Linked DNA regions of Xenopus tropicalis. The protein of the gene in region 2 binds, or shares a complex with, the protein of the main gene of each other region. Links are inferred from orthologs where the notes say so. Each region holds a gene or a part of one and is shown on either strand. Other genes may lie near its edges.

Region 1 (4,197 bases), on a different chromosome or scaffold from region 2:
ATATAAATATATTTACCAACAACACTCTCAGGAGGACCTTGGTCATATCCTCCTCTGTTGAAGCCTCCACGTCCGCCTCCTCTTCCAAACCCACCTCTTCCACCACCCTGTCCATAACCTCCACGGCCACCTCCTCTTCCTCCAAAACCACCACCTCCTCTTCCTCCTCCTCCACCTCTGTTAAAGCCTCCTCTCCCTCGGAATGACATCCTTATTGAAAGAATAGTTGGAGCAGTGATTTTTAAGTCATCAATAAAAGTCAAATGTAATGAAACAATAAACATATGTCAGTTTTAAGCAGTCAGTAGGGTGGCTTTACAATTACCCATACCAATAACCTATAGGACACTATTAAAATTATTATGCAAATACATGTACAGGTGCTACTTGGGATATTTGAGACTTGGGGTTTTTTTGGATAAGCAGCCTGTTAAATAAAAAAAGGACTGTATTGTGCTCATCATATATTTATGCGAGTCTCGTTACCATCAATGAGAAGTGATGAACTGTTTGTTAAATTGGACACTATTGGAAATGGCATTCCCACATAATGCTGATTACTGATATTAGGTTTCTGGATAATGCATCTCATACCTATATGTCTCATGGAACTTTTTCAGCTTCAAATTGATAAGCAAAATGGGGTATTTATAAATGTTAAATAGAGATTGTGTCACTGAACTACATAAAGACAAAACTCTTCCAAACAATAAGTAACCCGAAGATCTCCATATGTGTTTGGACTACAACTCCTAGTTTTCTACCAACAGATGTCAAAATGCATGCATTACCATGCTTGACAAAGAATACTATCTTCGAGGTAGCATTTTGCTATGCAGGGGCAAGCTCATTTAATGTACTAATCCTACAGTGGTGCAGTACAGAGTTAGAATCTATATTTGCTGCATTGTGGGGGGAATATATAGTGCAAAGTTAAAAGGAAAACTATACCCCCCAGAATGAATACCTAACCAACAGATAGTTTATAATATGCTAAGTAGGCTATTAAAGAATCTTATCAGTAAATATTGCCCTTTCCCTTGATTCACCATTTAGTGATGGGCTGTGTGCTCCCTCTGAGATCACATGACCAGAAATAATGCAACTGTAACAAGAAGTAGTGTGGAAGCAAAAGACAGAACTGTCCACTGAATACATGTGTGCCTTGGCTTGTTTGTGTGCACTGTGAATCTTATGATCCCAGGAGGCAGCCCTTAATTCTTGAAATGGCAATTTTCTATTTAGGAGTACCCAATAGCACATACTACTAAAAAAGTATATTTTTATGAAAACGGTTTATTCAGATGAAGCAGGGTTTTACATATGAGCTTGTTTATGCAATATGTTTTTATAGAGACCTAATTGCTTGGGGGTATAGTTTTCCATTAGGTGAAGTCACCTAAACAGTTAAAAATCATACAGTTTAGCCATGCATTCAAGCAACCAAATAATGATTTCTTTAACGGGTAAAAGATTGTTGAATCTCAGGTAGTCTGGGCACACAGTTAAGTAGTCATGTCAAACCTCTGTGATCAGTGTAACACTATTTAAATGGAAATCGAACAGAATAATAAAAAATTTTAGTTACATTATGGGGCACATTCATCAATGTACGATTGAGTCTGAATACTAAAAATTCATATTTTTTCAAAATTTTAGAACGGTGCGTATTTTCTGCGATTTTCTTGTTAATTTGTGCAACTTTTTCATTCTTTGTGACAATTTGTACGACAAAATCATATTTGTCGCAACGAGTACGAAAGTTTTGGAATTTATTAAAGCTTTGTTATCGTAGCTTTCCTTTGGCCAGGTCGGAGCTGCAGAGTGCCATTGAGCCCTATGGGAGACTTTCCTTGGGCCGGGTTGGAGCTGCAGAGTGCCATTGAGCCCTATGGGAGACTTTCCTTGGGCCGGGTTGGAGCTGCAGAGTGCCATTGAGTCCTATGGGAGACTTTCCTTGGGCCGGGTTGGAGCTGCAGAGTGCCATTGAGTCCTATGGGAGACTTTCCTTGGGCCAGGTTGGAGCTGCAGAGTGCCATTGAGCCCTATGGGAGACTTTCCTTGGGCCAGGTTGGAGCTGCAGAGTGCCATTGAGCCCTATGGGAGACTTTCCTTGGGCCAGGTCGGAGCTGCAGAGTGCCATTGAGTCCTATGGGAGGCTTCCAAAATCATGCACAGAAGTTTAACAGTTTTTGCACTGTCACTTTGATAAATGTGCCCATATTTGTCTGCCATAAACATTTGCTTACATGAAGATGAACTGAACTGCAACTTTAAACAACCCCCTGACACACTTTGATAGTAAGCATAGTATTAGTTGAAAATCATTTCATGTGCCCATCACTTATGTATATAAGCAATGACATAACTCCATGATCCCCATACTAAATCCAGGCAATGGATGACAAAATATTATCTGACCAAATAGCACTGGAGGGCCTGGATGTATAATAATGTTAAAATCAATGTTACATGAATTAGTGACCTGTAATGATCAGGGGTGAAGCACAGAGTGGAAGAATATCGTCACAGGGAAGTATAACCTCCAGCCCTCCATGCAGGCTCAACATCTGTTTGATCCGAGCTAGAGAACAGTATTTTAAAACCCAGGATAGCAGTCGTACACCCTTACTTTTCATCTCAACGATCATTGGACTGGACAAATAAAATGAAATGCATGTTTTAAAATGACCATGACAGATCGTATCTACCCTCAATTAAGCAATGAGTTACATTTACCTTTAGTTGCGTTTGGCTTCCTGCATGCGGCACTCTGAAACTACCCAGAGTACACTCCGGCACACGTTCCCACCACTTCCGACTCAACAACACGTGGACTGCGTACATCGTACTTGGGCGCACAGCATTCACGTCATCAAACGGCGCGGCTATTAAAGGAAACGCGCTTACGTGTTTGTGTCCATTTACTGAACTGAATGAATGGAGTCAATGAGAGCTTCTGTGATTTGGTTAGGGAAAGGCAAAGCTGGACGCACCGCAGAAAATAACGCATATATTTAGCTTATTACCGAGCAGCCAGTAATTATGGTACCGCTTGGTATTGTAATTGAACTCAGTTGCTGAACTAAAATACCCCATTAAAAATGGATTTTACATCGAAAAGCAGTTGAATTAATCCCATTGGGTGTATGTAAAAAATCTTTTGGGGATGGGGCTAGCAAGTAGATAAAATAATCATGAGTAATAATTCTCCAATTATTTTTGGCAGCAAGGCACAAATCTAGAGAGTGGGAGGGTAACACACTTAAAAGAAATATGGGAAAGCTGAACTGGTTATGGATTTAACTAGCCCAATGGGAGAAAAGAAATGCTATACAGATACAGATATAATTCTGTGTGTGTTGGGGGGTGGAGGTATAGTATAACTATTTCTAAATATACAAAATTACTCGCACATAGAACAAAAGTACACAAGGTTTGGACATTGGCCCTTAATCACAGGACTTGACCAATTAATGACAATTACATTTACAAATAACTTTTAAAGCACTGAAAATCTTTAATAAATTCATTTTGGAAGGTTGCCTAGAATTATGTTTTTTTTGTATTGGGCAAAAATGTAGTTTTGGGATTGACATGTCTTTTAAAGATTCGGTTTGGCCAGGACCATGGATTCGACTGAATCCTGATGAAAAAGGTAGAATCTTGGCCAAATCCCTAACTGAATCCTGGATTCATGCATCCCTAATTTGCATTAGAGTATCAAAAAGCAGAGGATAAGTCCAGGCAATGAGAACAGGGTAGTGTCCTTTGGCCTTGGCATCTAGAGATCATTTGCAACTCTACATAAGGATGTTTCAGTGGAGGGTGCAGCTGTTTTAAAGATAGAAAAGTACCAGAAAATTGTTTGCGGGTAGAATTGACTTTGCTTTTAAAATAGCAAAGTTCCAGGGGCTATGTTTAGACGTGAGTGATTTATTTGGTAAAGGATGAAGAAGTGAGTAGAATATGGTAACCAAGCACCATGGATTGTTTTTATTATTTATAAGTGTATTATAGTATTTTTGCTTGGCCTGGGATAGGGCAGCATTGAGGCAGTCCATAAGAAATGTATAGCGGAGGGAGTCTACTGTACACTGTGCCTGCAATGAAATGTGGAAGGGGGGGGGGGCAGCACCCTGTGTATGTAAGGAAATTCTGGGGGACCCACACACTTTTCCTCTGCTGAGATGTTGG
Region 2 (4,044 bases):
TGCTCAGGACCTGGGGGTTCTTGGATAAGGGATCTTTCCGTAATTTGGATCTCCATACCTTAAGTGTACTAAAAGATTATTTACTGTATATACTCGAGTATAAGCCAATCCGAATATAAGCCGAGGTACCTAATTTTACCTAAGAAACCTGGAAAAACTTATTGACTCGAGTATAAGCCTAGGGTGGGAAATGCAGCAGCTACTGCTAAGTTTTTTTTTTTTTTTTTTTTTTAACAGTCAGGCAAGTTTGGGAAGGCTAAGGAAGCTGCCATACTAAGTATCAAGTACTTGCCATCCTGCTGTGTGTGCTCCCATCGCAATGCAGCATGTCTCCCAGCACAACTGACAGCAAAGCTTCTATTTGTGAGAGTGCTCAGCCAGAATGGCAGTAGCTTCTGTGGAACTACACATCCCAGGAGGCCATTAATATGTAGGCAGGAGGGGAACATGAGCCGAGCCAGGAGCAAGATAACACTTCCCAAGGGCAGTTATACCCTCACTGTAGCCACATAGTCAGGTGTGTCCCCGATATATATATATAATTTGATATGACAAATCTATCATATCAAATTATATATGAATTATTGGCATGTCTGCTCCCAGGACTCTCCCTCTACCCTGCCATGGTTATGCTTCTGTATATGATTTTTTATCTGGAAACCTGGTATCCCCCATTTTTTTTTTTTTTTTTGAAACAGCTATAAGACCCCTTAGTGCTTTCTAAAAATTCGTTTTTTTAATTAAAATAATAACACCATGTTCTAGCAACTTGTAGGGGGTCTCCTGTACTTCATATCTTCACAAGCAAATCCTTATTACATGTGGAGTGGGCGGAGCTAGAAGTGATCAAGTTACACAGGGCGACCCGCACAGCGCCGCAGTCTCTTCCGGGGCACTGAGTGAGCTAGCCGGTTGCTGGAGCTCACAGCCCCCTCTGCCTGCAGCGGCCGGAGAGGGAGGTACGGGGGGGGGGCGGGATTTGCGAGCGTACGCACAGTGGGCGTGCGTGCACAACGAATTACAAAACCATATACTCGAGTATAAGCCGAGGATGACTTTTTCAGCACATTTTTGGCAACCACTGGTACACACTGAAATGAACTGTCAGTTTAGAAGAAAAGTGAAGGAAAAAGAATACTCACTGATTTGGATGGAACGTATGAATAAGGAATGCCGCGATCCTCACACATTACAGGGATGTGACAATACACCTCAATGGGAAGGGTGTCACCAGCCATTACTACAATCCTAAAAATATTCAGAAGTCAGAACTGTACAGTAAGCTACTATTACCGTGGAGGTTAATTGATGTTTCAGAAAAGGATAAGTGTTCTTACCCTTTCTCTCCTTTGTTGATGAACTTTTGTACTTCCTTCACTCCTCTGCGGATATTCTTTTGTTTTATGGCTGAAAGGGAAAATAGAGGGATCTTTAGGATACATCCATATTGTAGTAATTCTTCCAAAAACCTCTTGAACGGAATGGCATTGTTTATGCTTCTGATTATTACAGTGTGTACATATTTCAGAAAGCGGTGAATTCAAAAACCTCTATTACTGGCAGATTAAGTAAAAGGCATATCTATCATTTAATGGACAAGTATTTATGGTCTTATTGATGAAATGTTTAAGAAAGCAAGTCCTGCATTTTTTGCAGTTGTCCCTTGCAGGCAACCAGAGAGCCCTGCTGTGAGCTCTCTAAATGCTCTAGGCCAGAGATCCCCAACCTTTAATACTCGTGAGCCACATTCAAATGGAAAAAGTGTTGGGGAGCAACACAAGCATGGAAAATGGGGGTGCAAATAAGAGCTATAATTGGCTATTTGGTAGCCCCTATGTGGACTGGTAGCCTATAGAAGGCCCTGTTTGGCTTTACACTGGGTTTTATGCAACCAAAACTTGCCCCCACGCCAGAAATTAAAAAATAAGCACCTGCTTTGAGGCCACTGGGAGCAACATCTAAGGGGTTGGAGAGCAACATATTGCTCATGAACCACTGGTTGGGGATCACTGCTCTAGGCCCTCAGATGGCAGACCTGTGGTGAATCTTAGTGACACTGGTTCACAATAAAATGGAGGGGGGGGTCAAGTGTTCACAAGGGCTCCATAACAGTGCAGGCAGTGCTTTATATGAAGCCACAGTTGGTGGCAGGGTTTATGAATGGGGAAACCTCTCAAACATCCCTTTACAGTGACAGGAAGCAATTAAGCTTTGGCTGACTTTCAGCCGTTATAGTTCTGCTTATTAGGAATTATTGCATATTTTTCATTCATGTTAGCACTAGATTTTAGAAATTATGCCTAAAGCTCACTTTTAAAAGAACTGAACATATTCCTGTGAATTGAGTGTCACTAGCTAAAAGCCTCTACTGAATCCCTGCACAGGATTTCAGCGGAAGTCGAAGTTTATAATCGCTGTACATCGCAGTGACTGTATCCACATTTGTGCGCAAGAAGCCGGACTGACTGCTATCGCTTTTAAAACACATTTCAGACAAGATGCTCCAACAACAATTCACGGGATGTGTTAAACTCTAATTACAGCCCCACCATTCGCCTGAAAGAGCCAGCGGCCATTGAAGTAAGCATGGTACCTTTCTTTACACATTTGTATAGTTTCTTGGTGAGTTTGCGGCCCGCCAGCGGCTTAGCGATGGGGTTTAGATACGCCAACAGCTCATCGTAAGACTTGCTCGGCGTTTCGGGCACTTCCTCCGATTCCTCCTTCTTTGCTTTAGTCATTTCGCTAGATCACAGACGAGCAGGCTCAACGCACAACCACGTGTAACCGCGCACACTCGCACAACTGAGCACTTCCGTGTCCGGTGGGAGGGGCATATGCAAAGCAATCTGTGACTTGCGCTCTAGTCTCTGCGTAAGGAAAACTTCCGGCCATGAATATGCGGTATTGCAGAGAATATTGACTTTACTGTGGTGTATAGTTTGTATGTATGGTTAATATCTATAGTAGAAAGGAAATAAATTAATCATTGGTTAGAGAGATAGTTTCTTTCCAAGGGAAGGACCTAAAGCCCTCTAGTGGTGAGGTAGATACAAGTACAGGAAAGAGTCCAATCTGCAATGATAACGATAAATAATACCCATAATACCGGGACCCTCGTTGCGCTTTAGGAGTAAGGTCCTAAATAACGATAAACTCCAGTCTCTTTTGATATATCCAGCTAATTCTCATCCTGAGAAACACCATAACGTTTTTGTCTGGTAAACAAAATTGCCATTAAAGGGGGTTGTTCACCTTTCTGTTAACTCTTAGTATAATGTAGAGCAGTGATCCCCAACCAGTGGTTCATGAGCAACATGTTGCTCCCTAACCCCTTGGATGTTGCTCCCAGTGGCCTCAAAGCAGGTGCTTATTTATGAGTTTATGGTTAGGAGCCAAGGTTTTGTTGCATAAAACCCAGTGTAATTGGCAAACAGAGCCTTCTGTAGGCTTCCAGTCAACATAGGGGCTATCAAATAGCCAATTATAGCTCTCATTGGCACCTCCGGGAACTTTTTTCATGCTTGTGTTGCTCTCCAAAATTTTTTCCATTTGAATGTGGCTCACGGGTATAAAAGGTTGGGGAACCCTGATGTAGAGTGTAATATTCTCAGACAATTTGCAACTAGTCTTCATTTTTATTCTTTCTAGTTTTTTAGTTTCACTTTTTGTTCAGCAGCAATTTGGTTGCTAGGGTCCAAATTATCTTAGCAACCAGGGAGCTGTTTGAATGACAAATGATAAATGAACAGGAGAGGGCCTGAATAGAAAAATGAGGAATAAAAAGTAACAATAAAAATAAAACTGGAGCCTCACAGAGCAATAGTCTTTTGGCTGCCGGGGTCAGTGACCCCAATTTGAAAGCTGCAAAGAATAAAGGCCCCCATACACGGGCCGGTCCCTTGGACCGATTCGGCAGCTAATCGGCCTGTGTGTGGGCAGAAACGAGCAGCCTGGCCAACCGATATCTGGCCTGAAATTGGCCAGATATCGATCGGCCAGGTTAGAAAATCCAGTCGGCTCGGGGACCGCATGGGCTCGTTG

What was found. The genes of interacting proteins can lie anywhere in the genome.
Region 1: nhp2 (region 2) and gar1 share a complex: the UniProt entries of both Homo sapiens proteins name them as parts of the H/ACA small nucleolar ribonucleoprotein (H/ACA snoRNP) complex. The link is inferred for Xenopus tropicalis from reciprocal best matches to the Homo sapiens genes NHP2 and GAR1.

Annotation. Positions count from the first base shown.
Region 1 is NC_030677.2:68,656,226-68,660,422, forward strand, and holds the start of gar1 (H/ACA ribonucleoprotein complex subunit 1), read right to left. Parts: upstream 2,801-4,197; 5' UTR 2,740-2,800; intron 211-2,739; 5' UTR 210-210; coding exon 17-209; intron 1-16. UniProt on the Homo sapiens protein: Required for ribosome biogenesis and telomere maintenance. Part of the H/ACA small nucleolar ribonucleoprotein (H/ACA snoRNP) complex, which catalyzes pseudouridylation of rRNA.
Region 2 is NC_030679.2:47,807,131-47,811,174, forward strand, and holds the start of nhp2 (H/ACA ribonucleoprotein complex subunit 2-like protein), read right to left. Parts: upstream 2,801-4,044; 5' UTR 2,742-2,800; coding exon 2,594-2,741; intron 1,408-2,593; coding exon 1,338-1,407; intron 1,249-1,337; coding exon 1,143-1,248; intron 1-1,142. UniProt on the Homo sapiens protein: Required for ribosome biogenesis and telomere maintenance. Part of the H/ACA small nucleolar ribonucleoprotein (H/ACA snoRNP) complex, which catalyzes pseudouridylation of rRNA.